Linked DNA regions of Macaca fascicularis. The main gene of each other region encodes a partner of the protein of the gene in region 3 in a complex. Links are inferred from orthologs where the notes say so. Each region holds a gene or a part of one and is shown on either strand. Other genes may lie near its edges.

Region 1 (4,199 bases), on a different chromosome or scaffold from region 3:
AATAATTCATTTACAATGTTTGCATCAGTATTCAAAAGTGAGACTGTTTTTAGTGTTCCCTTTACTAGATTTTTCTGTAAGTGTTATCATGGCTTTGTAAAGGAAAGCTTTTCTTCTTTCTGTATGAAATGGAACAATTTCAAAAGGAGATTCTCTTGAAAGATGTATTTACCCATGAAATAAGGCATAGCTCTTGGGTAATACTCTTAACTTGCTTTGGCTTTCAAATTTAAAACCCTGGAGATAACCCAAAAGTACCCTTGGGTTTACTTTTCTCATTCCTAATTTTGTATTTTTGTATCATTCCTTTCTCCCCTGATTTAACTAGCAGTAGTTTCGTCTACTGTTTTTGTTTACTCTAAGAATGATCTTTTATAATTTTTTTCCTTTTAATATATTAGCATCAGCGTTATCTATTTTTAGATCTTCTTCCTGTTTCTTTAGGCTTATTTCATGTTTCCTTCTTAGTATTATTAAATAGAATATTTCTATTATCTCTCAATTATTCAGGATATTGATTTTCTAATACATTCAAGCTTTGGTTACATTCCATATATGGTAATATTATGATGTTATTTTATAGATATTAAGTAACTGTATTTTCAGTTTCCTTTTTCACACAATAAAGTATCCACAGTTAGTTTTGTAGTTTCTATTTTTGTTACTCCTTCATTAATGCATTCAATCAACCCAGCAAATACTTAGTCCCCTTCTAGTTCATTTTGGTCACAGACTGTGTTTTGTTCTACTTCAACTACATTGTGGTTTGCTAATTAATTTCATCCCCACAGAGTCATTTTATGTTTTTAAAAAGATAAATTTCATAAATTTCACAAACATTTTATGAATTTTCCTCAGAGCTGTGTATGCAGGATAAACTAAAAAAATTTATAAATACTGCATTTCATCAAATTTAAGATTACATCTTGGATTCATCATTATTTCATATGCTATGAAAGAAACTGCCATGCTCATTTCAAAGATGTTAAAGTGTGAAAATATGCATCTTAGAAGCATGAAATATAGCATATTTAATGTCAATTGCCCTCTTTCACCAAATTCAGCTAAAACAATGGCCTTTCAAAATCTTTTGTTTGTTTTTCCAGAATTGTCTTGTCTTCCATACTTGTTACCTTTTCCAGATAAGAAACTCTATGACTGCTCAAGGGATCTGAGCAAGGCAAAGTGATCCCTTCTTTTAGGAGTATTTGAATTGGGAGAATAGTTTCAAAGAAGTACACTTAACTTTGTAATAATTTTATATTTGAAAAGTGAAAAAATGTTTTTATAACGCTATGAATAAATGAAAGCATAATGAGAACACCATTGAAAAAAGGTAGGAGCTTTTTTTTAAGTTGAAAAACTGACAAATCAACAGTCAGCTACTTGTCAATTCTCTCAGCTTCTTTCAAAGTTTATCAGAATCTCTCTTCTCCACTACCTAAATTTTTTTTTCAGGAGCTCTAACTCCAATACCTAAACTTTCGATACTTTAATTCTGCCCAAGCAATATTTCAGTGTGTGAAAACAATGCAACATATATATAATACACACACACACATATATATACACACACATACACATATGATCAGTTGCCTGCCTCTTTAACATGTCATCTCCACAGAATCACTTTATAGCAAGAGGAAAACCTGCTTTTCCTTAAATAGGTTACCGAGTTCATTGTTTCTTTTTTCTCCTTGCAAAGGGCTAAAAAATGAACATCAGGAACAGATCCTATTCACAGAATCGAAATTTAAATTACTTACTAATGCTTTCTTAGCATAAAAAATTATACTAAGATACCTTCTTTGTCAAGTTCTGTTCATCTTTCAACTATACAGTGGAAAGCCTACTCAATGTTCAATTAACCCCATCACGCATCTTCCTGCCTGCTTAAACAAATGTATTTAGAGATAAATGTTTTTAATATTATTCTAGCTCTCACATAGTCACTGACAGAAACAAGAACTTATTCATGAAAAAGGTTAAAGAAATAGAGAAACAAAATCACTGGAAAAATACGCCTTTAAAACAAAATATAAGGCACAGGCTAATGAAATGGATAAGTTTACAGGGCACCTGCCCTATACCTTATCAATATAAAACTCCATCTAGACATAAAGTACTGGCAAGAAGAGGTTAGTAGGCAGAAACAAGCCAGACTCTCTCCTCTCCTCAGAATATTAAATCCACTCAAGATATACAGTGAATGACAAAAGACCACGACGCCAATCACCCGAAGAAATCCCAAGCAAAAGCACGCCACAACTGTCCTGAACAGGTAGCCTCACAGTCTTGAGCTGAGTCACACTTCCCGTACCTGTGCCCACTCTATCCGACCCCCTGCGGCCTAGTTAAACTAAAAATCCGAAATTAAACTCTGAAACGTTCCTTCCTGGGAGACTAAACTCTCTCCCACCCCTCCCCCTCACAGATCCTTCCCTCCCCGAAACGGGCTGGGGGCGGGGAGGGGAGTCGCCTCAGAAAAGAGCATCTTGCTTCTGGCCGCTGCCGTCTCCCTTGAGGACCCCGGCACTCGGAACTGAGCCGGGATCCAGGCCCAAGGGAGTCGCAGGCCCCTTCCTCACAGCCCCCCAAAAACCGGCCCCAGGTGAGAAGACGTAAGATCACTTACTAGTGGGAGCTCTGCCAAAAGTTCCCTGCCATGGAACACAGCTTGCCCTGATAAAAAAGCACCAGCCGGCGGAGCGGCCCGCGGAGCGACCATAGACCCAGCCCGTCCGGTAACCGCGCTCCTCGATCAAATCAGCTCGGCTCGACTCCGCTCCGCGGCGGCGACGGCGAAAGGAAGAGGATGGCCCCCTAGTCTCCTTCACGCCGGCCGACAACACTCAACTGTGCAAACCCGTTCCTATCGACAAAAGTTCCGGCCCGCGGTAGCGGAGGGAGCCGGCGGGGAGGTGCTGACCTGTGGGGGCGCTGAGATAGAAGAGAACTAGTGCTCACGAGAGCTCACGGCGGTTGGAAGACTCTCGCGAGAGCGTCTTGCCGGTTCTGGCCGGGGGCCCACGGCGCTCGGTCTCCTGTCCTCAGCACTGGAGTTGCTGAGTAGGGGTCTAACCTGGGCGAAGTGGCTGAGTTCCGGGGTTCTGTTATTACCTCTTCCAGGACTTCAAAAACAGAACAATGGCATTGTAATAAAATAAAAGATTTTGTGACTTATTTTACCTGTGATTGGAAAGAGAAATAAATGAAGATGACTTTGTTCTCACGGATCAAGTTTTTTTTGTTGTTGTTTTTGTTTTTTGTTTTTTTTACCTTGCTCTGTCGTCCAGGCTGGAGTGCAGTGGCGCGATCCCGGCTCACTGCAAGCTCCGCCTCCAGGAGTTCGAGCGATTCTCCTGCCTCAGCCTCCTTCCGGAGTAGCTGGGACTACAGGCACGCACCACCACGCCCGGCTAATTTTTGTATTTTTAGTAGAGATAGGGTTTCACCATGTTGGCCAGGATAGTCTCAAACTCCTGACCTCGTGATCCGCCCGCCTCGACCTCCCAAAGTGCTGGGATTACAGGCGTGAGCTACCGCGCACGGCCTATTTTTTACTTTTGAGACAGAGTCTGGGTCTGTCACCCAGGATGGAGTGCAGTGGCACAATCTTGGCTCACAGCAACCTCTACCTTTCGAGTTCAAGTGATTCTGCTGCCTCAGCCTCCCCGGTAGCTGGGATTACGGGGATTACAGGCGCGTGCCACCACGTCCATCTAATCTTTGTATTTTTAGTGGAGAGGGGATTTCGCCAGGCTGGTCTGGAACTCCTGACCTCAGGTGATCCATTCGCCTCAGCCTCCCAAAATGCTGGAATTAACAGGCGTGTGAGCTACCAGGCCCGGCCTGGATCAAGCGATTTCTTTCTTTTTTTTTTTTCTTTCTTTTTTTTTCTTTTTTCTTTTTTTTTTTTTTTTTTTTGAGACAGACTCTTGCTCTGTCACCCAGGCTGGAGTGCGGTGGCGCTATCTAGGCTTACTGCAACCTCTGCCTCCCAGGTTCAAGAGATTCTCCTGCCTCAGCCTCCCAAGTAGCTGGGACTACAGTCGCGCACCACCACGCCCAGCTAATTTTTGTATTTTTAGTAGAGGCGGGGTTTCACCATGTTGGTCAGGATGGTCTGGATCTCCTGACCTCGTCATCCGCCCACCTCTGCCTCCCAAAGTGCTGGGATTACAGGCGTGGGCAACCGC
Region 2 (4,024 bases), on a different chromosome or scaffold from region 3:
GGTCCCCGAGGCCCGGTCCCCCAGCCGGGCCTGCAGCCCAGCGTCATGGAGGACGACATCCTCATGGATCTCATCTGAATCCCCAACACCCAATAAAGTTCCTTTTTAACACACGCCCCGGCTCCCGTCACTGACATCCCCCAGGACTGGGCAGGAGGAAACCCCAGGGGGCATCTCTGTCCTTGTTCTCACTTCAGCAGATATCCCTGGGGCCCTGGGTGGGTGACGCCGGGGCCTCCGTGGTGAGTCAGAGGCAGTCTGGTGCAACCTGGTTCGTGGGAGATGCAGGGACAGGCAGGCAGCGCTCAGGACTCAAGCTCTCATGGAGGTGGCGGGGCACCATGGGAGCCTGGAAGAGGTGTCTGACCCAGCCCCAGCTCCTCAGTCTTGAAAGAGAATCAGCTGTCAGGCCGGGAGGGAAGGAGGTGAGGGGTGATCTGGGTGCAGAGAACAACAGAAACTTTGAATACTCAAAGACAGGAGGAAGCCTGGGATGTTGAGAGGAGCAAATTGATGGATGCTTTTGGAGCATGAGCGTGTAGGGAGCTCATGTGTAGAGAGATGGGCAGGTGCAGAGTTTGAGGAGCTCAGATGCCAAACTGAGCAGCCCGTGGTTTGTCCTGGGGACACAGGAGAACCAGGAGACTTTGAGCGGTGGGGCGGGCTTAGGCCGGCTCTGGATGTCAGAAAGAGCCCTCTCAGCTGTGGAGCGTGATGAGACCAGACAGGAGGCCAGGAAGGGTGAGGCTGGGTGGTGGGGATGCTGGGGACTGGGGTAGAGGTTGGCTTCTGGGGTCAGGCCTACGTGATGGTAGGTGGTGGGGCTCCTGGGAGAAGGAGCTGGTAGTAAGTGTACGTGGTCCAAGGGACGTCCAGGTGACAGGTGCCATTTTGGGAGCTCAGGACGTGTCCTTAGAGGACAGTGTATGTTTGGGGTTCAAGCCACAGAAGCAGACAAGATCGCACATGGAGAGAGGGTGGTCCCTGGGTCCACATCAGAGACTGACCTTCCAGGGCTGTGGACGGGAAGACGGTGGGTCTGTCCCCAGGATGGAATACCCAGCAGGGAACAGGTTTGGGATGTGGCAAGGTGAGGGACCTAAAGGATGGCCTCAGAGACATCCTGAGGGCAGGGGATCCAGACAGGCTTGGAGCGCAGGGCGGTCTCTCCTGGAGGTGGAGAGTGAGTTGTCTGTTGTCGGACTCTGGACCAGTGTTGCTGAGAGCGCGGTCCATGCCTGGACCACCAGCATCCACATCATTTTGGATGCTGGTTAACGTACAGATTCACAGGCCCCACCCCAGGAGAGAGATTGCAATCTGGTGGCCTATGGGCCATGGTGCAGATGAGTTTTGTTTGGCCTTCCCTGTGTTAGCATATGTGGCATTTTTTTCTTGAGTTAGTTATAAAAATCAGGTTAATACACACACACACACACACACACACGCAAAATCTGCAGTCTTGGCATCTTTTGACAAGTCAGAAGAATTGGCACCCCTGGGCCCGCCCTTCTGCCTGGCAACAACGGGCTGGAGCTGCCCCTCTCCATGGGGCGTGTGCTCTCCGGTTCGCCACAGTCCCCACCACTCCCTCTTGGCTCCCCTGTGAGGCAGAGAGTCACTGCCTTTGTCACGGGGCTTGCACTGTGGTTGTTCTGTGGTAGCATTCAGAGGAAAGTGAAATCTTTCTTGTACTCATGTCTGTATCACAAGCGGCAAAACGAAAGAGAGAAGGAGAGGGCCGCGTGTTTCGAGAAAAGTGGGAGCGAGCCTATTTCTTTGTGGAAGTGAAGAGCATGCCTATGTGTTTAATATGCAAACAAATCGTGTCTGTGTTGAAAGAATACAACCTGAAACGCCACTACGAATCAAAGCATAGCAAGAGCTACGACCAGTACACAGAGCAGACTCGAGACGCCATCCTCAGCGAACTGAAAAAGGGACTCAAATGTCAGTAGGGTTTGTCTTGAAAAGCGAATTAACAGAAGTGGTGCGGCAGTGGTACGCCGTTCCGGAATCACGTGAGAAGAATGACCTGGGCATTCAGAGCTACAGCAGATGGCGAGTTGATAAAGGAGCAGAGTGACGTGTCCTTTACAGAAACACATGACTGTTGAGACCATTATTTAAGTCTAACGGGCATTTGCGTTGCACAGTGAGTTGGAGATAACTCGGGGGATTTAGAAGTCCAGTTGCTTGAAAGAGTCAAATTGATTGTGGCCTTTTCTTTCGCTGCTCATAAACTATTACCACCCAGTTAGCTTTATTTATTTGTGGTGTTAAGAAACTTGATGTGACTGAAGAAGTCTGTGGCATGGTGCCAAGGCGGGCCCAACACTGGGAAAGGACTCATTTTTTTTTTTGTATATTGAGAGAAAAGTTTCACATAGACTGGCCAGAGTTCTGAAGCACAACTACAGACAGCTGTCATGACAGGGGGACTTGACAGGACACCTTGAGCCAAGGTGACAATTTGGCAAGGACACGGAAGTCGGGTCGTTGCATCCATCATCAGGAGTTGACTTGTTCTGAGCAGCTGAACAGAACACACCGTGACGCTCTCGACACTTCCGCTCCTGGGCTTTAGTCACGAGTGAGTTGATGATGACTTGACCTGAGAGATTTCACAGAAGCTCTGTGACTTGGTTGTGGAAGAAATTGAAACTGTACAAGTTAATCAGCTTGGTTCATTTTAAATCAAGCAAAAGCCACAGTGGGTTCCCCTGAGAAGGTTAGTCAAAGACTTCTGGTCAAGGTTATGACCGTTCTGAACACTGAATATTTCTCTGCAAGGATGTCCACAAACAGCTACTTGAATGTAAGATGGTATATGCTTGGTCCTGGCAAAAACGGGGAATCCACCAGCAAGGAAAAAAAACATTTACTCTTTCCTACGCCACAGTTGGCTTTCAGAAGTGAAAGACGTGGCCTGGACTATATTCACCTACGTCCTGGGGTGGAAGACCAAATTCCCCCAAAGGCCCTCGGAATCCAGACTCATGAGAAGGAAGAGACACTGTCCAGTTTGCCTTTGTTGGTAAATGTTTCTTGTGTGAATACAGACCATAAATAGTAATTGAACTATGGTGCAATACGGCGCTGGTTCCTAAATACAAGTCTGTGTGAAGATGGTGAGATTCTACAACTATCTCCAGTAGTTGTCCTGAATATCCATGTTTGGGAGTACCCACGCTTGTGAACAGCTGTTTTCCGTTACGAACCTGAATCAAATTAAACATTGTTCCCAGTTTAAGGATTCAAGGCTGAATTCTAAACTGCCCATCCCCACCGTGCCACCCCAAGGCCTGACACATCTCGGTGTGGAAGGGAAGACGCCAGCCTTTTGGCTTCAACTCAAAGGCGCAAAAAGAATTATGAAAGAGAATTTTAATAATTAAATATTTCTATTTTTCAATTTGTATTTTTTCAATTTTGAATTTAAAAATATAAACTCCAGTATCATCCATGTTTGTATTATGTTCCATGCATTCACCATAGTTCAGTAAAGATCCGATTTGATGATATTTCTGGCCGTCGACTTTTCTTATACCTGGCTAGTTCACTCATTTATGTGACCCGCCTGGCCCCTGTAGGCATGTGAGTTTCCCATCCCTGCCCTGGAACTGCTGGATCCAGCGGGGGGAGGGCGGGGGTGTGGGAGTCGTGTGAGCAAGCTCTCTAGGCGATCCTCAGGAATGTGCGTGTGGAGCAGGAGGCACTGGTGACAGCGAAGAAGTGAAAGTGGGGGATTTCCCAGGCAGCCTGTGTAGCAGGGGTTTTTGAAAACTCAGATGGCTTCAGGGACCAGGCAGGTGATGAAAATGTGTGAAGCGGACGGGTGTAAGACAACAGGGAATGATGGGGACTGTGGCGAACTTGGAGAGTGCTTGCCCCGCCTAATGGCATTCAAATTGAAACCAAAAACACTGTGAGGACCAAACAAAATCTGCCTGTGGGTCTAATGAGGCCGCCAGGCCGCCATTTTGCGACCTCTGGAAGAAGGAGAAGACTCGAGAACAAGGAC
Region 3 (3,964 bases):
TGTCACGATCTCCGCTCACTGCAAGCTCCGCCTCCCGGGTTCACGCCATTCTCCTGCCTCAGCCTCCCGAGTAGCTGGGACTACAGGCACCCGCCACCACGCCCGGCTAATTTTTTTCTATTTTTGGTAGAGACGGGGTTTCACCGTGTTAGCCAGGATGGTCTCGATCTCCTGACCTCGTGATCCGCCTGCCTCGGCCTCCCAAAGTGCTGGGATTACAGGCGTGAGCCACCGCGCCCGGCCGCGCCACTATCTTTCTTAGGATGTAATTACTGCGTCTAGTATCTCAGGTTAAACTTATTTTTCTTTTTTTTTTTTTTTTTTTTTTTGAGACGGAGTCTTGCTCTGTAGCCCGGGCTGGAGTACAGTGGCCGGATCTCAGCTCACCGCAAGCTCCGCCTCCCGGGTTTACGCCATTCTCCTGCCTCAGCCTCCGGAGTAGCTGGGACTACAGGCGCCCGCCACCTCGCCCGGCTAGTTTTTTTGTATTTTTAGTAGAGACGGGGTTTCACGGTGTTAGCCAGGATGGTCTCGATCTCCTGACCTCGTGATCCACCCGTCTCGGCCTCCCAAAGTGCTGGGATTACAGGCTTGAGCCACCGCGCCCGGCCCAAACTTATTTTTCATGAGACATTTCTGATACCGATACCCTTTGAAATGCTAGTCTTGGCCGGGTGACTAGCCAAGGCGAAACCCCGTCTCTACTAAAAATACAAAAATTAGCCAGGCGTGGTGGCGGGTGCCTGTAATCCCAGCTACTAGGGAGGCTGAGGCAGGAGAATCGCTTGAACCCGGGAGACGGAGGTTGCAGTGAGCCGAGATCGTGCCATTGCACTCCGGCCTGGGCGACAAGAGCAAGGCTCCGTGTCAAAAAAAAAAAAAAAAAAAAAAAGCCAGTCTTTAAGTACAGCGACATGTTAATTAATCAGTTAATTTGCGAGTTAACTGCTAAAATAAAATAAGCAAAAAAATGCCGGTTTCCGAAGGGAGCTGAAAGCTACATACAGCGGCGTGAGGCCTGAGACAACTCAGATCAAAGAAGACAGGGCTGAAAGAAATCTCGCGAGGCCCACGCATCGACCAATATTCGCGAGATTTCGATGCCCTGTCCTTTTCCTCTTTCTGGCAGGACCACGGTTTATCTCGCGAATTTTGGGAAGTTCCGTTGGGGAAGATGGCGGCGGCCTCGAGCACCCTTCTCTTCTTGCCGCCGGGGACTTCAGACTGATCCTTCCCGCGAAGAGTAAGGGACTGCTGGTACCCTGCGTCCTGGAATCCCGAGCCAACTTGTTTCCCCCGTTAGTGGTGGGGAAGGGCTTATCCTTTTGTGGCAGATCCAGTCTCTCGCCGCCTTCAGGATGAAAGCTCAGGGGGAAACCGAGGGTAAGTGACTGAGGGGGAAAGGAGGGGGCGGGACACAACTGGGGGAGCCAGTTTGTGAGAGAAGGTTCTTGCAGATGTCCCATGGGGGCCACTTGAGGGGCACAGAGTCCGGGAGAGGGAATGTGTATGAGTTTTAGATTGTCACTATACCCTCCTTGATGACTATAGAGCTTCGACTTTGGGGTGATGGGGACTCTCAACTTCTGTGAAGATTTCATGCTCGGCTAGGGCACTTTTGGCCTAAAGTGGTGCGAGACGGGGCTAGTGAATACAAAACCAGCTTACATCTCCTTCCAGAAGAGACGCCTGAATAAATTTAGGGCTGTGTGTAAACGTACTGGAGACTATTTTGGCATGAATGAAATGATTAATTCCTTGTATTTATTAGCAGCCAGCGGATCCCTACAATGTCAAGTGTTCAGATCCTGTACTGTTGTGTATTTTGTTTTTGTTTTTGTTTTTTTTTTTTTTTTTTTTTTGAGACGGAGTCTCGCTCTGTCGCCCAGGCTGGAGTGCAGTGGCCGGATCTCAGCTCACTGCAAGCTCCGCCTCCTGGGTTCACGCCATTCTCCTGCCTCAGCCTCCCCAGTAGCTGGGACTACAGGCGCCCGCCACCTCGCCCGGCTAGTTTTTTGTATTTTTTTTTAGTAGAGACGGGGTTTCACCGTGTTAGCCAGGATGGTCTCGATCTCCTGACCTCGTGATCCGCCCGTCTCGGCCTCCCAAAGTGCTGGGATTACAGGCTTGAGCCACCGCGCCCGGCCTGTTGTGTATTTTTAAACTGTGCTGAATTTAATTCTTTTATTGACCGAACTAATAACTGCAGAAAAACAACTTTCCTGGGGAACTTTACTAAGATTTTCTAAAGTTCCACACTCCGGCTTAGATGCTTCCTTGGCATTTTGGGCATAGTTCTGTTGATACAGTGAGCTGTGTTATTGTTTGTTTATCTCCAGTTTACTCTGAGCTTTGCAGATTAGGGTCCTTGCCTGATTCATTTTTATATAGTTTCTGGAACGTAATAGTCGCTCAAAAAATCTTGGAGCATCGAAGTGCAGATATTTATCAGCAGGTTTCTCAAGAAAAACAAGGAGTGTGTTTTGGAGGAGAGGTCGAAAGGTGAGGCCCCGCGGGAGCAGTGACTCACATCTGTAATCCCTGCGCTTTGGGAGGCTGAGGCTGGAGGATCCCTTGAGCCCAGGAGTTCGAGACCTGCCTGGGCAACATAGTGAGGCCCTGTCTCTACAAAAAAATGAAAAATTGCCGGGCGCCGTGGCTCACGCCTGTAATCCCAGCACTTTGGGAAGTCGAGGCGGGCGGATCACCTGAGGTTGGGAGATTGAGACCAGCCTGACCAACATGGAGAAACCCTGGCTCTACTAAAAACACAAAATTAGCTGGCTGTGGTGGCGTATGTCTGTAATCCCAGCTACTTGGGAGGCTGAGGTGGGAGGATCACTTGAACCCAGGAGGTGGAGGTTGTGGTGAGCCAAGATTGTGCCATTGCACTCCTGCCTGGGCAACAAGAGGGAAACTTCCTCTCAAAAAAAAAAAAAAAAAAAAAATTGGCTGGGCGTGGTGGCTCATTCCTGTAATCCCAGCATTTTGGGAGACCAAGGTGGCGGATCACCTGAGGTCAGGAGTTCAAGACCAGCCTGGCCAACATGGTGAAACCCTGTCTCTACTAAAAATACAAAATTAGCCCGGCATGGTGGCATGCCTGCAATCCCAGCTACTTGAGAGACTGAGGCAGGAGAATCACTCAAACCCAGGAGGTGGAGGTTGCAGTGAGCCAAGGTGGTGCCACTGGACTCCAGTCTGGGCAACGAGAGCAAAACTCTGTCTCAAAAATATAAATAAATTAATTAAAAATAAATAAATAAATAAAATAAAAAATAAAAAAAATTAGGGCCAGGTAGTGACTCAAGGATGTAGTCCCAGCACTTTGGGAGACCGAAGCAGGCAGATCACTTGAGCTCACAAGTTGGAGACCAGCCTGGACAACCTGGCAAAAGCCTGTCTCTACAACAAATATAAAAATTAACTAGGCATGGTGGCACAAGCCAGTAGTCTCAGCTACTTGGGAGGCTGAGGTGGGAGGATTACCTGAATCCTGTAGGTCAAGGCTCCAGTGAGCCAGAATTGTGCCACTGCACTCCAACCTGGGTGACAGAGCGAGACCCTGTTTCAAGGAAAAATTAGCTATAGCCCCAGCTACTCTGAAGGCTGAGCTGGGAGGATCACTTGATCCTGGAGCATGGGAGGTCGAGGCTACAGTAGACCTTGATTGTGCCAATGCACTTAAGCCGGGGCTGCAGAGTGATGCTCTGTCTTAAAAAAAAAAAAAAAAAAGAAAAAATGTACTCCTCAGGTGCAAGGGGAGAAGGGTAAAAATGGAAACTTTGTGAAGTAGGAGTTTTTGTCTGGTTTGTTCACTGCTGTCTTTTTAGCAATTTCATTTATTCTTTTTCTTTTTTTAAAAAATTTTCCTCTCTAACCCAGTTCAATAACTTTTTTTTGACACAATGTCTCCATCTGTTGCTCAGGATGGAGTAAGTGGTGTGATCAAGGCCCATCTCTG
Region 4 (4,086 bases), on a different chromosome or scaffold from region 3:
GGCCTTCCGGGCTGGGCTGGTCCCTGCCGAGGCTACGCAGCCCGGCCACCCCCAGACCCAGAGGAGGCCAACGCCACGCCTGCCCGCCGGACCCTCCCCCTCGGATCTCAGGGCCCAGTGCTGCGTCCGCCCGCCCCTCACCTCCGGCTCGGGGCGCTCCGAGGCCATCACACAAGCCCTCCCGCGCCGGCCCGGGCCCGTGTGTTCCACTCTTGACCCCTGACCTGGCTACCTCGGCACCCGGAAGGAACAGGAAGTGGGTGGGAGGGCCGAGTTCCAGTTTTCTGATTGGTGGACGAAGCCTTCTCAGAGGCGTTTGCTGACAGGAAACCGGAAGTGGAAATCGTTGCAGTCGCCTCGGCCGCCGCAATGCAGGTGAGAGCCGCGTTGGGAGTGCTAGCGGCTGGCCAGCTTCGGCTACAGGGAGCCAGAGTGGGCTGGCTAAGGAGAATGAAGAGTTGGGACTGAGAAAAGAGGGCAGAACCCACGGCTGATAAGGGAACGTGGGTTGGGGGGCGAGGTTAATTGGAGAGGGAGCGGCGCAGATGAGAGGTGGGGGTGGAGCTCGCCTGACAGAAGGCGGTCGGGCTAAATCCGGAGGGAGGAGGCAGCACTGACTTGCTTGGCGTGGGAAAGGATTAGGTTGTAATACGGGGAGGCCGAGATGCAGTCCAAGGAAGACGGCTCAGGAGGTGGTGGGTTGGCTCAGGCCCTGTCCTAAGCTGCTGGATGGAGGCTGTTGGATGCCGATATAGCAGGGGATCTAATTGGAAAGAAGCCCAAGCAGTGAGGGAATTGTGGGCCGCGGTGTCCGAAAGCTAAGCAGCTTGTAATGTGAGGCCATGGTGGAACCCAGGATCAAGTTCCTGTCAGGCACCTTAGCAGGTTTGCAAGACAGTTTTGCATCACTCTTCCCAGCCTGTGCCCTATAGTTGTTAAGGGTGAAGAAATGGAATAAAACAGGATACCACCGATGGGAAGGAAATGCTTTGCAGACCCCCGGCATTTTAATTTGTTTGTTCAGTGCTTAGAAGCATGTGCGGTTTTGGTTTTCATTTGTCACTTAGTTTCCTGCAGCTGGTAGTCTCAAGAAATGTTATTGGGTTGACCGAGCTTGTGAAAGAGGCACGGGAATATTGACACAGAGATAGATGGGTGCATATTAATTCAGCGAGGAGAAGGTTGAAACATGAAATGATGAGAGCAGATGGAAAGCTGGAGTGGTTGGTGGGGGGAGGGAAAGAGGAGAGCAGGGCTGGTATTCAGAGAAGTCTTCATGAGTAGGCAGATTTCCCAGAGACTGACAAGAGAGCCAGGCTCACAAATGCTAGGATGGAGGAAGCTGGAGTGCATGTGCTACAGAGGTGCACATGAGATAATGATCTGGCATTAGGTTTGTCGAAAATGTCTCAATGAGGGAGTGTAGGGTGTACCTAATACAGAGAAAAACCAGGCATAGATTAGGAGCGGATGGGAAAAAGGAATCAGTTGGTGGAAGTACTTGGGTCAGGCAAACGGTTGAAAGGTCTCAGGGTTGATGCTGTCTATAACCCAAATACCACAGATAGGAAACAACCTGGTTATCCTATGCCAATGAGATCCTGTTACCTGACTGGTGTTTGCACACCATCTCCTTGGCTTTTCAGCCCTCCTTTCTATGTGTCATACTCGTTTATCTGGGTAACCAACCTGTTCCTATTGGTGCAGAGAGAGGAGAAGCAGCTTGAGGCATCATTAGATGCACTGCTGAGTCAAGTGGCTGATCTGAAGAACTCACTGGGAAGTTTCATTTGCAAGTTGGAGAACGAGTATGGCCGGCTGACCTGGTAAGGGTTGCCAGGGCAAGCTAGGGAGGGCTTATGGGTGGGGGGGCCTAGCCTTCTGATGAATAGGACACTTCTAATGATGTAACCATTTATCAGTTTACAAACATCTTTTGATTTGGAAAGAGCTGGGTTTCGTAACATTTAGCAAGTGGCTTCCATGGCAAGGAAGTAGAGAAATGCTCGGTTTCCTAACCCAAGTTCATTATAGCTTTCAATTCTTACCCTTTGACTTCTCTGGTGAGGAGGTCCTCCTATTACAGCTCTATTTGTGCTGGATCTCTTGCCACAAATATGGCTGAGTCCTTTAGATCCAACCTACTCTGAAGTGTGGATCCTATTTCCAGGCTGGAAAGAAGGATTTTACCGGGTTTCTGAAGTTTTAGTTATAACAGTATAGTCCTATTTTGCCACTGTTCCTCACCTCATTCAAACAATGAACTGGATTTTTTCTACATCTGTTTCATAAACTGAAACTATGTCCCTCTTTCATAACCCTGTCATCCTTGTTAGTTTCTTCCCACTTAGGCTAGTCATAGGGCTATGAGACTTTTGGGGATAAATCCGAGTGTTCCTAGCCTGAAGGAACTAGGACTATTTTACTAAGAACCACCCAAGGAAGGGGTGGAACATTCTGACACCTGCTTACTGCCAACAGGCCATCTGTCCTGGACAGCTTTGCCTTGCTTTCTGGACAGTTGAACACTCTGAACAAGGTCTTGAAGCATGAAAAAACACCGCTGTTCCGTAACCAGGTCATCATCCCTCTGGTGTTGTCTCCAGACCGAGATGAAGATCTCATGGTAAGAGCAGAAAAAGAATACAACTTGGGAAATTAAGGAGTTTTTTAGGCTTCTTTACTATTTAGGGAAATTAAGTTCTTAGCTGAGAACTTAGAAATAATTTTGGAGGCCTTGCTTTTTGTTCTTCTGAAGGTGGGAGAGCCACTCCCAAATAGTGTTGTAATAACCTGAGGGGTATGTCACCAAGGCTGGTACCTTCCTTCTCCAACATCTGTCTCAAGCCACAAAGTCTGCCCTTTGGTGACTTTGTCTGTTTCAGTCTTTGAAACGTGGCAGACAGTGATAGTTTAATTTGCCTCTAGGTCTGGTAGAGATAGGGATGTGAGAAGACACAAAAAATGAAGGCTGGAGTAAAGGAGATTGTGTCCTAGGAAACTAGATATTATGTCTTAGGTTGTATTTTCCTTGAAAATGCACTGTTTGCCTGTGGATGGGACTGTATATCAGGCCAGATAGAATCTTCTTGGAGTGCATAGTAGGATCAATAAAATCTGTGTGTTGCAGCGGCAGACTGAAGGACGGGTGCCCGTTTTCAGCCATGAGGTAGTCCCTGACCATCTGAGAACCAAGCCTGACCCTGAGGTGGAAGAACAGGAGAAGCAACTGACGACAGATGCTGCCCGCATTGGTGCAGATGCAGCCCAGGTTGGACTGAGTCACTGCCTTGCTGCCCCATCCCCATCCCATCATGAGAAGCTAGGCATTACCATTCCTGTCTAGTAGGGATGCATAGTTGGTTGCACCTAAGCTGCTTCTGGCAGAACCCAAGGAATAAATTTGTCCATATCGTTTCCTAGTTACCCTAATCTCTGCACAAATTTGTGTGTTACAGAAGCAGATCCAGAGCTTGAATAAAATGTGTTCAAACCTTCTGGAGAAAATCAGCAAAGAGGAGCGAGAATCAGAGAGTGGAGGTATGGTGGACTGGTGGCAAAACAGAGAAGGAGAGGTATATAAGATCACTGGAATGGGAATGGTTGTTTCGAGAGTAGTGAAGTTAGGACACAAGAGTGAACTGCTTTAGGGTTTGCATCCATTCTGTTAGCCTTTTGTATTTAAGGCCAACCCTGAAGCAGTGGAGGAAATGGGCAAAGTAAGAAGAGAGAATTCTGAGATAGGCTTGGGGGTCCTCTGGCTCTTTTTATGGGCTGTGAGGGAGTCTAGATGCTGCTGAATTCAGAACTCTAAACCCTGGCACTCATACTGGTCTTCCAGCTGCCACGTTCAGTCCTGCATCAGAAACATACTTCAGGATCCCCACTTACTTTTTCTTCAGGTCTCCGGCCAAACAAGCAGACCTTTAACCCTACAGACACTAATGCCTTGGTGGCAGCTGTTGCCTTTGGGAAAGGACTGTCTAACTGGAGACCTTCAGGCAGCAGTGGTCCTGGCCAGCCAGGCCAGCCAGGAGCTGGGACGATCCTTGCAGGAACCTCAGGATTACAGCAGGTGCAGATGGC
Region 5 (4,163 bases), on a different chromosome or scaffold from region 3:
GAATCGCCTGAACCTGGGAGGCGGAGGTTTCAGTGAGCCGAGATTGCGCCATTGCACTCCAGCCTGCGCAACAAGAGCAAAACTCTGTCTCAGGAGAAAAAAAAAAAAAAAAAAAAGAGAGAGAAAGGCAGCATCTTGGAGACCAAACATGTCCAAAACAACTCGATTTCCACCTCTTCAAACTTGTTCCTTCCTCATCTTCCAAGTCTCATACCCATACACCCAATTATTCAAGCTGAAAACTTAAAAAGGCATCAATTCTTCTATCTCCTTCACTTCTATATACAATATGTATTTTTAACTGAGACAGCTTCTTCCTCTATCATCTAAGCTGGAGCACAGTGGCACAATCACAGCTCACTGCAGCCTCAACTTCCTGGGCTCAAGTGATTCTACCACCTCAGCTTCCTAAGTAGCTGAGACTACAGGTGTACGCTGCTATCCCTAGCTAATTTACTTTTATTTTTTGTAGAGATGGGGTCTCATTATATTGCCCAGGCTGGTCTCAAACTTTTGGGCTCAAGCAGTCCTCCCACCTCAGCCTCCCAAAGTGCTGGGATTACTGGCGTTAGCCACAGCACCTGGCCCTATATTCAGCTTTTCAACCCTGTCAGCTCTACGTCTAACACCCTGTATCCATTTACTTCTCTAAATAAGTACATTTGACCAAGTTCCTATGTTAAAATGGCTTTCCTTGGCTGGGCACAGTGGCTCAGGCCTATAATCCTAGCACTTTGGGTGGCCAAGGTGGGAGGACTGTCATTGGCCAGGAGTTCAAGACCAGCTTGGGCAACACAGTAAGACCCAGTCTTTACAAAAAATTTTTAAGTTAGCCAACTGTGGTGGCACATGCCTGCAGTCCTAGCTACTTGGGAGGCTGAGGTGGGAGGACAGCATGCGCCTAGGAATTGGAGGTTACAGTGAGCTATGACTGTACCACTGCAGTCCAGCCTGGGTGACACAGTGAGACCTTGTCTCTATAAAAAATTGTTTTAAATGGCTTCCTTTTGTATTTACAATCTAAATGCCTTTATTGCTTTATAAAAGCCTCTGCCTAACTCTCCCAGCTTCATCTCTCTCCTAACACTCTTTCCTTTTGTTCACTTCACTGGAGTCCAACTGATTTTCTGTCCCTCAGATATTCTAAGCTTTTTCTCACATCAGGGTTTCTGACCTCATTTCCTGTATCTAGAATTATCTCTCCCTCCTGTCCATAGCTGGCTGGCCCTTTGTCTATGCTTACATTTTAGTTCAAATTTTAGCTATGTGGAGAGAGCATCTCTGGCCACTCTAGCTAAAGTAGTTCTGCCCCTCAATTTTTTTTTTAAGAGACAGGGTCTCATCTGTTGCCCAGGCTGGAGTGCAGTGGCACAATCTTGGTTCACTGCAGCCTGGACCTCCTGTGTTCAAGCAATTCTCCTCCCTTAGTCTCCTGAGTAGCTGGGGCTACAGGCAAGCACTACCACGGCCGGCTAATCTTGTATGTTTTGTAGAGACTGGGTCTCGCCATGTTGCCCAGGCTGGTCTCAAACTCCTGGGCTCAAGGGATCCTCCTGCCTCAGCCTACCCAAGCGCTGGGATTACAGGCGTGAGCAATGCGCCTGGCCACCTTCAATTTTTTATAATGTTTTCTCTTCCTAGCATTAACCACTCTCTGACATTATCTTGTTTACAATGCCTCCTACACTGAAATGTACATTCCAAAAAAGGCAAGCATCTTGTCAGTCTCGTTCACAACTGTATCTCCAGCATTTAGAAAAGTGCTTGGTACATAGGTACTCAACAAAATAATTTTTTGAATGAAAAGAGTTTGGTTCGATTCTTACCCCTTCTTTGATGACACCAGGAAACGCAGAAATCTTGGAAGAGTGGCAACTTGCCCCAAACCCACAGCAAGTCTGTGGGAGACTTGTAACTAAAACTTTAGGTCCCCAAAGATATTAAATCAGGCCTCTCGAGTTCCAAACTCAAACTCTTGATTTTTTGTTTGTTTGTTTTTGTTTTGAGACGGAGTCTCATTCTATCGCCCAGGCTGGAGTGCAGTGGAGCAATCTCGGCTCAATGCAACCTCCGCCTCCCGGGTTCCGAGTAGCTGGAATTAAAGGCATACGCCACCACGCCCAAGTAATTTTTGTGTTTTTAGTACAGACAGAGTTGCATCATGTTGGCCAGGCTGGTCTCGAACTCCTGACCTGAGGTGATTCGCCCGCCTCCGTCTCCCAGAGTGTTGGGATTACAGGCGTGAGCCACTGCGCCCAGCCCTAGATAATTTTTTAGGGAGACATAAACCAGTGTCAGGAACACAGCCTGGACATGGTGCAAAAGACAGTCACGGAGATGCACCACCCCGCTCCCCGCCATTCATCCCTTTGGTTGAATTCAACTCATCCCTCTGCTTGTGAATCCTAATAGCCCTTTCGACTTAGGGCTCCACAGTCCGGGTATGCGTTGCCTAGGTTACCTCGCACCTCCGTTAGCCGGCTGAGAGCCACGCCCAACACCTCCTCTCTAAGATTTGATTGGCTGGCTTTGGCAAGGCCGAGTACTCACCTGGCAGTTCCCTCATGAGGTAAAAAGGGCCACAGCCAGCTCCTGACTTGTCCGCGCCGGGAGGGGCCGTGGCCGCGGTGGGAGGCGGAGCCGTGCCGGGTCCCCCGCCCGGAGGAGGCGGTGGCGGGGGTGGAGGCTTTCCTGGTCCGAAGCCTAGTGCGGTTGGGGGCGGTGGTGGGTCAGCCTGAGCCCCGAACAGCGCCGTGAAATTCTCCATCGTCCCCTCCGCCCCGGCGCTGTCTCGGTGTCTGGCGTTGGTAATTTTCATTGGACAATGCCTTTAAGGAATACCCACCTCTTTCTCAAGGAACCGCTTGTCATTGGATGCCTCAGGCACCGCCTACCTTGTTTCAACAACTACTTCCGTCGCTCTCTGAGAACGTTCAGGAAGTGCTATTTAACCTTATTAGAGTCTTCTGCTAGCTACGTTAGCTACAGTCCAATAAAATGACTTAAGCTGATAAAGCGACAGCTAGACCAACCAATAAGATATTAAGTTCTTTTTTGGGTTCTGACATACCACAGCGTTGACAGAACTACATCCGGGTTTAGAGGCCGTACGTTTGAGATGTAGCCCAATAGCAGTCGCTATGGTGGGGGAGGCGGGGCCGGACCTACGACGCCGGTGAGCAGTGGCCCTTGCGGCCGAAAAGATGGCGGTCTTGGCTCCTCTAATTGCTCTGGTGTATTCGGTGCCGCGACTTTCACGATGGCTTGCCCAACCTTACTACCTTCTGTCGGCCCTGCTCTCTGCTGCCTTCCTACTCGTGAGGAAACTGCCGCCACTCTGCGACGGTTTGCCCACCCAACGCGAAGACGGTAACCCGTGTGACTTTGACTGGGTGAGCGTCCCGCGTCTCAGTACCGCGACCTTGACTGTCCCTGCCCTTGCAGGTGCATCTGGGAACCCTGGGGTTTACCTTTCTGAGGACACCTGAGGTTCCGAGCCTGTAGCGGATTTAACAGACTGTAAAGTGCAGAGTCCGAAACATCGTCGAGACTAAACTTTGTGTTTAATATGGGAAAACGGAACCTGTTAGTCGTAGCCCTGTACAACGGCCCAACAGCTTCTGACTGTTGAGTCCAGGTTTCTTTCCATTTCACCATTTAGACTAAGAAACAGCCCTGTCAAAACTGTACATATACGTGTATAGCATCTTACAGTGCCGCTCATTATGTAAAGCCTCCTGAGGAGCCAGTAAGGTAGGGAAGGCAAGTAGTAGTAGTCCTGTTTCATTGGTGAAGGAATGGATCTTGGTATATTTAGGCGACTTGCCCCAGGTCATGCAACTAATGAGTGCCTGGGACTTGAAACTATTCTTGTGGCCACACTACCTGCACACACTGTCAGCCGTTTCTTAATTCAATCAACATTTCTAGAGTGTACACTCTAGGCACTCTGCTTGATCCTGAGGATGCGAAAGTGGATAAAATTTTGGGGCTACTGTAAAGGAATTGTAAAAAATAAGTTGTAAAGAAATCTTTGGGCTTTCTTTGAGAAGTGTCCCAAGCTCCTTGCTGTGCTTCCTTGGAATGGGTGGAGGGACTGCTCAGAACATGAACTTAAAGCACTTTACCCTCTGCTATATAGCATGTAAGGGCCAAGGCAAAGC
Region 6 (3,500 bases), on a different chromosome or scaffold from region 3:
TCCCTGTTTGCAGATGACATGATTGTATATTTAGAAAACCCCATTGTCTCAGCCCAAAATCTCCTTAAGCTGATAAGCAACTTCAGCAAAGTCTCAGGATACAAAATTAATGTGCAAAAATCACAAGCATTCTTATACACCAGTAACAGACAAACAGAGAGCCAAATCAGGAATGAACTTCCATTCACAATTGCTTCAAAGAGAATCAAATACCTAGGAATCCAACTTACAAGGGATGTAAAGGACCTCTTCAACAGGAACTACAAACCACTGCTCAGTGAAATCAAAGAGGACACAAACAAATGGAAGAACATACCATGCTCATGGATAGGAAGAATCAATATCGTGAAAATGGCCATACTGCCCAAGGTAATTTATAGATTCAATGCCATCCCCATCAAGCTACCAATGAGTTTCTTCACAGAATTGGAAAAAACTGCTTTAAAGTTCATATGGAACCAAAAAAGAGCCCGCATCTCCAAGACAATCCTAAGTCAAAAGAACAAAGCTGGAGGCATCACGCTACCTGACTTCAAACTATACTACAAGGCTACAGTAACCAAAACAGCATGGTACTGGTACCAAACAGAGATATAGACCAATGGAACAGAACAGAGTCCTCAGAAATAATACCACACATCTACAGCCATCTGATCTTTGACAAACCTGAGAGAAACAAGAAATGGGGAAAGGATTCCCTATTTAATAAATGGTGCTGGGAAAATTGGCTAGCCATAAGTAGAAAGCTGAAACTGGATCCTTTCCTTACTCCTTATACAAAAATTAATTCAAGATGGATTAGAGACTTAAATGTTAGACCTAATACCATAAAAATCCTAGAGGAAAACCTAGGTAGTACCATTCAGGACATAGCCATGGGGAAAGACTTCATGTCTAAAACACCAAAAGCAACGGCAACAAAAGCCAAAATTGACAAATGGTATCTCATTAAACTAAAGAGCTTCTGCACAGCAAAAGAAACTACCATCAGAGTGAACAGGCAACCTACAGAATGGGAGAAAATTTTTGCAATCTACTCATCTGACAAAGGGCTCATATCCAGAACCTACAAAGAACTCAAACAAATTTACAAGAAAAAAACAAACAACCCCATCAAAAAGTGGGCAAAGGATATGAACAGACATTTCTCAAAAGAAGACATTCATACAGCCAACAGACACATGAAAAAATGCTCATCATCACTGGCCATCAGAGAAATGCAAATCAAAACCACAATGAGATACCATCTCACACCAGTTAGAATGGCGATCATTAAAAAGTCACGAAACAACAGGTGCTGGAGAGGATGTGGAGAAATAGGAACACTTTTACACTGTTGGTGGGATTGTAAACTAGTTCAACCATTATGGAAAACAGTATGGCGATTCCTCAAGGATCTAGAACTAGATGTACCATATGACCTAGCCATCCCATTACTGGGTATATACCCAAAGGATTATAAATTATGCTGCTATAAAGACACATGCACACGTATGTTTATTGCAGCACTATTCACAATAGCAAAGACTTGGAATCAACCCAAATGTCCATCAGTGACAGATTGGATTAAGAAAATGTGGCACATATACACCATGGAATACTATGCAGCCATCAAAAAGGATGAGTTTGTGTCCTTTGTAGGGACATGGATGCAGCTGGAAACCATCATTCTTAGCAAACTATCACAAGAACAGAAAACCAAACACCGCATGTTCTCACTCATAGGTGGGAACTGAACAATGAGATCACTTGGACTCAGGAAGGGGAACATCACACACCGGGGCCTATCATGGGGAGGGGGAAGGGGGGAGGGATTGCATTGGGAGTTATACCTGATGTAAATGACGAGTTGATGGGTGCAGCACACCAACATGGCACAAGTATACATATGTAACAAACCTGCACGTTATGCACATGTACCCTACAACTTAAAGTATAATAATAATAAATAAATTTAAAAAAAAAAAAGATTTAGAAAAAAAAAAAAAAATTTATAAATGGGATGCCTTCCTTGTTAAGGTCCCTCACTCAGCTAAATTAATACAAATTCTCCTCTAAAGGAGTAACAATCTATTATCTGACATGAACCAGAATTATGAGATGTTAGGTGAATTGACTAAGTTTTTTACAACAAACAAAACTTGCAATATCCTCAAGTAACAATATTTTTAGAAACAAAATAAGCTGAATTTCTCAAGAAATCTAATTTTAAAGGATAACAAAAAATGTGAGAGTCAAAATAAGAGAAGCTAAGAAAATCTGTTTACCTTCTGTAGGGTTAGCAGGCTGGTCTTTGTTAATTGCTGTCTGAATATTACTGAAAGAGGCAGGAGGACCACATTGCTGCAATACTCCAATGGCATTACAAAACTGATCTGCAAGCTTAGGCCAAAGAAAACATGTCGAGGTTAGAAAGGACTTATCAGTTTTAAGGACTTTATTGGTAACAGCAACAACAATAAGTTTCTGTAATGCTAATCTCTGAGCAAGGGAATAAAACAGAAAGGAGTAATTGTTGATAAAATAAGCCAGTTGATTACATGTTTTAATTCTGCAAAGAAACTAAGTTTGGTATCAATCTAGGTGAAGTAAAATTTGATATAAATCTAGTTGGAACAGTTGAAATACAAAACAATCTTTCTTTTCTTGTTATAGTAAAATGATAAGAGAACACTGGCCAATACTTATTGTAAGCCACAAGTAAAGACTTTTTGCGGACAGTGATGGAAAAGAGCAAATTTGACTTGTAAATATCTAAGTATGGCATCACGTTTAATAAAAATTTATTACTCATGCACAAAGTATATGATTCCTTTTCTGAGACTGGAGTAGTTATAAGTGTAAAAAAAATAGTGGGGAAAAGGCTGCTCAGAAAAGCACCTTGAGTAATCAGAAATGTATCTGTTCAAGACTCAATTTTTAAACTCTTGTACTCTAAAAGTACTCCGTAAGTACTTTTAAAGATGGAGAATATCAATTCCTTACCATCTCCAAATTAAATACACCTATCCTCCCCACCAATTTCTCTCACCTAGTCTTGACCTCTCAAACCTCCTATTTCTAATAAGCATTTCCTTTGGGTTTCTCTGCCATTGTTTCAATGACAGAACTCAAAGGCAACTGTTTCCTCTGTTTAATATTTAATTTGTATTGAAAGTCTCCTAGTCAACCAGTCTAACTTCAGATTCTTGCTTTCCTTTGATCTTCAAATTATGCTAATACTACAAATCTTCCTCTTTTCCTTCTATCATTATTGTTGCTTAGTTCAACCAATTATCTCACACCAGAATTATTACAATAGCCTTCTTGTTGTTTGCCAGTTCACCAGGTTATTTATTTTACCCTGATAAAAACATTTGAGCTTACTCCACCACTGTCTTCAAGGTAAACCTCCAACTCAGGCTGTTTTGAAGCTTTCAACAATCTAAGTCAACTCTACTGACTTGTTTTCCACTACTCCTTCATATTTACCTAACTAGTCATAAAGTCACTTATGACTA
Region 7 (3,500 bases), on a different chromosome or scaffold from region 3:
CAGCCACCGGGCCCTGTTCCAGGTCCCCTCTACCTTGCAGCCTTCACACGCGTGGACTCCGTAATGGTAGCCTGAGGCCTTGTCCCCGCAGATTCTACATTCGATGTTCAATGCTCCACTGGGAGACTCGTCCACGCTGCCGGGGACCACAGGATAAGTCACCGAGGAGGGGCTCGAAGCTGGTGAAAGCGTGTCTGGGGAAAAAGAGGAGAGACAGATGAATAGTCCAGGCATCACTATCCTGTGTCTGAACCGGGTCTACGAGGATGTGATTTAGCATATGAGGCATCTAATGCTGAGGCGTAAACCTCAGAATACCCATGCAGGGCCGGGCCCTGCCTCTGGGTCACACCCTCTTGCACTCCTACAGCTGCCGTTGTGCTGTGCTCCCAAAGCCAGCATGCTCGCTCCGACTGCTGCTGAGCTGACCCCGAGCTCCGGACCCACACATCTCAGATCACGCATCCCTAGACCCACGCATCTCCGCCCCGCATATCTCCGGACTCGAGTGTCTCCAATCCACACATCTCCGCCCTGCACATCTCCTCATTCCGACATCTTCGATCTGAGCATCTCTGATCCGAGCATCTCCAATCAGCGCATCGCCGCCCCGCGCATCTCCGGACCTGCACATCTCCCATCCACACATCTTCAGATTCTCATCTCCGGACCTGCGCATCTCCGGACCCGTGCATCTCCGGAACCGCAGATCTCTGGACCCGTGGATCTCTGGACCCGTGCATTTCCGATCTGCTCATCTCTGTTCTGCATATCTCCAGACCCACTATCTCCGGACCCCCGCATCTCTGGACCCGTGCATCTCCTGACCCCCTACAGCTCCTGATTCGCACATCTCCGCTCCGCACATTTCTGGACCCACGTATCTCCGATTCGCCCATCTCCTGATCTGCGCATCTCCGGACCCGCGTATCTCCTGGCCCTCCACATCTCCTGATCCCCCCATCTCCGCTCCGCACATCTCCGGACTCCCTCAACTCCTGCTCCATACATCTTGGGACCCTCACCTCTCCGGATCCACACATCTCGGGACCTCTACATCTCTGATCCGCACATCTCGGGACTGGTACATCTCCTGATCCGCATATCTCCGGACCCCCACATCTCCGATCTGCACCTCTGGGTACCCGCACATCTCCGGACCGCACATCTTGGGAACCGCACTTCTCCAGACCGGTACATCAGACCCACACATCTCCTGATCTGCACATCCGGGGACCGCACATCTCCGCTGCACACATCACCAGACCATCTCGCCCATACCTCACCCTGCAGGACTCCCCGTGCCCCCGCGCTGACAGTGCCACACAGAACTCTTTTTGTTTGCTTCTTTCCTTCCAGTTCTTCCACAATTGCCAACTCAGTAAATGGCACCAGAATACAGTATAAAAATCTGTGTGGGTAACACCAAATGCATAATCCATGAAAGAGAAAATATAAGTTGGAATTTATGAAAGCTAATTAAACCTTCTGCTCTGCAAAACACATTGCTAAGAAAATTAAAGACAAGCCACAGACTGGGAGAAAATATTTTCAATACACATGTGGTAATATACAAAGAGGTCTTAAAACAACAATAAGAAAACAAACAACTCAATTGAAAAATGGGGGCTGCGTGTGGCGGCCAGGTGTGGTGGCTCACGCCTGTAATCCCAGCACTTTGGGAGGCCAAGGTGGGCAGTCACGAAGTCAGGAGATGGAGACCATCCTGACTAACACGGTGAAACCCCGTCTCTACTAAAAATAACAAAAATTAGCCGGGCGTGGTGTCGTGCGCCTGTAGTCCCAGCTACTTGGGAGGCTGAGGCAGGTGAATCGCTTGAACCCGGGAGGCGGAGGCTGCAGTGAGCTGAGATCATGCCACTGCACTCCAACCTGGTGACAGAGCAAGACTACGTCTCAAAAGGAAAAAAAAAATGGGCAAAAGATCTGAACAGTCACTTCAGCAAAGATGATATACAGATGGCATGTAAGCATATGAAACGATGCTCAGCATCATATGTCATTGGGGCATTGAGAATGAGAACAACAATGTGGTGTCACCACACACCTACTAGGATGACCAAAATCCACAAAACTGACATCATCAAATTTGGTGAGGATGTGGAGCAACAGGAACCCCCATTCATTGCTGGTGGGAGTGCAACATGAGACAGCCCCCTTGGAGGACATTCTGGCAGTCTCTGACAAAGCAAAGCAGTTTTACTGTATGATGGAATCACACTCGTAGGTATTTGTCCAGTTGATTTGGAAACTTCTGTCCACACAAAACCTACACAAGTTTAGAGCAGCTTTTTTTTTTTTTTTTTTTTTTTTTTTTTTTTTTTTTGAGACAGAGTCTCACTCTGTCACCCAGGCTGGAGTGCAGTGGCACAATTTCAGCTCACTGCAACCTCTGCCTCCAGGTTTAAGTGATTCTCCTGCCTCAGCCTTCCAAGTAGCTGGGATTACAGGCACCCATCACCATGCCCAGCTAATTTCTGTATTTTTAGTAGAGACAGGGTTTTACCATGTTGGCCAGGCTGGTCTCAAACTCCTGACCTCAAGTGATCTGCCCCCCTTGGCCTCCCAAAGTGCTGGGATTATAGGTGTGAGCCACTGCGCCCGGCCAGCTTTATTCTTAATTGCCAAAAATTGGAAGCAACCAAGATGCCCTTAAATAGGTGAATAGATATACAAACTGTGGTACAAACAGACAGTGGGACTTCATTCAGTGTAAAAAGAAATTAGGTATCAAGCCATGGAAAGACATGAATGACTCTTAAATGCATATTGTTATAAAAGAAATCAGTCTGAAAAGGCTACATACTATATGACTTCAAATTCATGGCATTCTGGAAAAGGCAAAATTATAGCAACGGTAAAAAGAACCATTTCTGAGCTGGCTAGGGGTGGGAGAGGCAGGGTCGAATAGGTGAAGCATGGGGTTTTTTGATGTGGTGAGACTATTCATACGAAAATGTAACAGTGGTCTGGGTACGGTGGGTCATGCCTGTCATCCCAGCACTTTAGGAGGCTGAGGTCGGCAGATCACTTGAGCTCAGGAGTTTGAGACCAGCCTGGGCAACATGGTCAAACCCTGTCTTTACAAAAAATACATAAATTTGCTGGGCATGGCAGTGTGCACCTCTAATCCCAGCTGCTTGGGAAGCTGAGGTGGGAGGATCACCTGAGCCCTGGGAGGCTGAGGCTGCAGGGAGCTGAGATTGTGCTGCCACTGTACTCCAGCCTGGGTGTCACAGTGAGACCTCCATCTAAAAAAAGAGTAGAGTAGAATAGAATAGAATAGAATAGAATAGAATAGAATAGAATAGAATAGAATAGAAAAAGAAAGAGAGAAAGAGAGAAAGAGAAAAAGAAAGAACGAAGGAAAGAAAGAAAAAGAAAGAGAGACCGGGCATGGTGGCTCACGCCTGTAATCTCAGCGCTTTGGGAAGCTGAAGTGGGTGGATCATGAGGTCAGGAGTTTGAGACCAGCCCAC

Evidence for each region.
Region 1: MED1 (region 3) and CCNC share a complex: the UniProt entries of both Homo sapiens proteins name them as parts of the mediator complex. The link is inferred for Macaca fascicularis from reciprocal best matches to the Homo sapiens genes MED1 and CCNC.
Region 2: MED1 (region 3) and MED25 share a complex: the UniProt entries of both Homo sapiens proteins name them as parts of the mediator complex. The link is inferred for Macaca fascicularis from reciprocal best matches to the Homo sapiens genes MED1 and MED25.
Region 4: MED1 (region 3) and MED8 share a complex: the UniProt entries of both Homo sapiens proteins name them as parts of the mediator complex. The link is inferred for Macaca fascicularis from reciprocal best matches to the Homo sapiens genes MED1 and MED8.
Region 5: MED1 (region 3) and MED19 share a complex: the UniProt entries of both Homo sapiens proteins name them as parts of the mediator complex. The link is inferred for Macaca fascicularis from reciprocal best matches to the Homo sapiens genes MED1 and MED19.
Region 6: MED1 (region 3) and MED21 share a complex: the UniProt entries of both Homo sapiens proteins name them as parts of the mediator complex. The link is inferred for Macaca fascicularis from reciprocal best matches to the Homo sapiens genes MED1 and MED21.
Region 7: the proteins of MED1 (region 3) and PPARA are in contact, whole or in part, in a crystal structure (PDB 9IWM), measured with the Homo sapiens proteins. The link is inferred for Macaca fascicularis from reciprocal best matches to the Homo sapiens genes MED1 and PPARA. Residues at the interface, in NP_004765.2 of Homo sapiens: Asn638, Thr639, Asn641, His642, Pro643, Met644, Leu645, Met646, Leu648, Leu649, Lys650; in NP_001001928.1 of Homo sapiens: Val284, Thr285, Thr288, Glu289, Lys292, Phe297, Leu302, Asn303, Gln305, Val306, Thr307, Leu309, Lys310, Pro458, Leu459, Glu462, Ile463.

What each region holds. Positions count from the first base shown.
Region 1 is NC_088378.1:75,740,290-75,744,488, reverse strand, and holds the start of CCNC (cyclin-C), read right to left. Parts: upstream 2,801-4,199; 5' UTR 2,668-2,800; coding exon 2,636-2,667; intron 1-2,635. UniProt on the Homo sapiens protein: Component of the Mediator complex, a coactivator involved in regulated gene transcription of nearly all RNA polymerase II-dependent genes.
Region 2 is NC_088393.1:57,821,044-57,825,067, forward strand, and holds the end of MED25 (mediator of RNA polymerase II transcription subunit 25), read left to right. Parts: coding exon of another isoform or gene 1-78; exon of another isoform or gene 79-113; intron 114-1,713; coding exon 1,714-1,958; 3' UTR 1,959-3,524; downstream 3,525-4,024. UniProt on the Homo sapiens protein: Component of the Mediator complex, a coactivator involved in the regulated transcription of nearly all RNA polymerase II-dependent genes.
Region 3 is NC_088390.1:60,495,343-60,499,306, reverse strand, and holds the start of MED1 (mediator of RNA polymerase II transcription subunit 1), read left to right. Parts: upstream 1-1,164; 5' UTR 1,165-1,358; coding exon 1,359-1,383; intron 1,384-3,964. UniProt on the Homo sapiens protein: Component of the Mediator complex, a coactivator involved in the regulated transcription of nearly all RNA polymerase II-dependent genes.
Region 4 is NC_088375.1:191,388,151-191,392,236, forward strand, and holds the start of MED8 (mediator of RNA polymerase II transcription subunit 8), read left to right. Parts: upstream 1-1,286; 5' UTR 1,287-1,470; coding exon 1,471-1,826; intron 1,827-2,481; coding exon 2,482-2,626; intron 2,627-3,130; coding exon 3,131-3,271; intron 3,272-3,458; coding exon 3,459-3,540; intron 3,541-3,902; coding exon 3,903-4,086. Other genes in the region: KICSTOR complex protein SZT2, read right to left, coding at 142-168. UniProt on the Homo sapiens protein: Component of the Mediator complex, a coactivator involved in the regulated transcription of nearly all RNA polymerase II-dependent genes.
Region 5 is NC_088388.1:15,892,852-15,897,014, reverse strand, and holds the start of MED19 (mediator of RNA polymerase II transcription subunit 19), read right to left. Parts: upstream 2,801-4,163; 5' UTR 2,768-2,800; coding exon 2,551-2,767; intron 1-2,550. Other genes in the region: TMX2 (thioredoxin-related transmembrane protein 2), read left to right, coding at 3,204-3,392. UniProt on the Homo sapiens protein: Component of the Mediator complex, a coactivator involved in the regulated transcription of nearly all RNA polymerase II-dependent genes.
Region 6 is NC_088385.1:29,780,043-29,783,542, reverse strand, and holds part of MED21 (mediator of RNA polymerase II transcription subunit 21), read right to left. Parts: intron 2,383-3,500; coding exon 2,268-2,382; intron 1-2,267. UniProt on the Homo sapiens protein: Component of the Mediator complex, a coactivator involved in the regulated transcription of nearly all RNA polymerase II-dependent genes.
Region 7 is NC_088384.1:5,378,399-5,381,898, forward strand, and holds part of PPARA (peroxisome proliferator-activated receptor alpha), read right to left. Parts: intron 195-3,500; coding exon 34-194; intron 1-33. UniProt on the Homo sapiens protein: Ligand-activated transcription factor. Key regulator of lipid metabolism. Activated by the endogenous ligand 1-palmitoyl-2-oleoyl-sn-glycerol-3-phosphocholine (16:0/18:1-GPC). Activated by oleylethanolamide, a naturally occurring lipid that regulates satiety.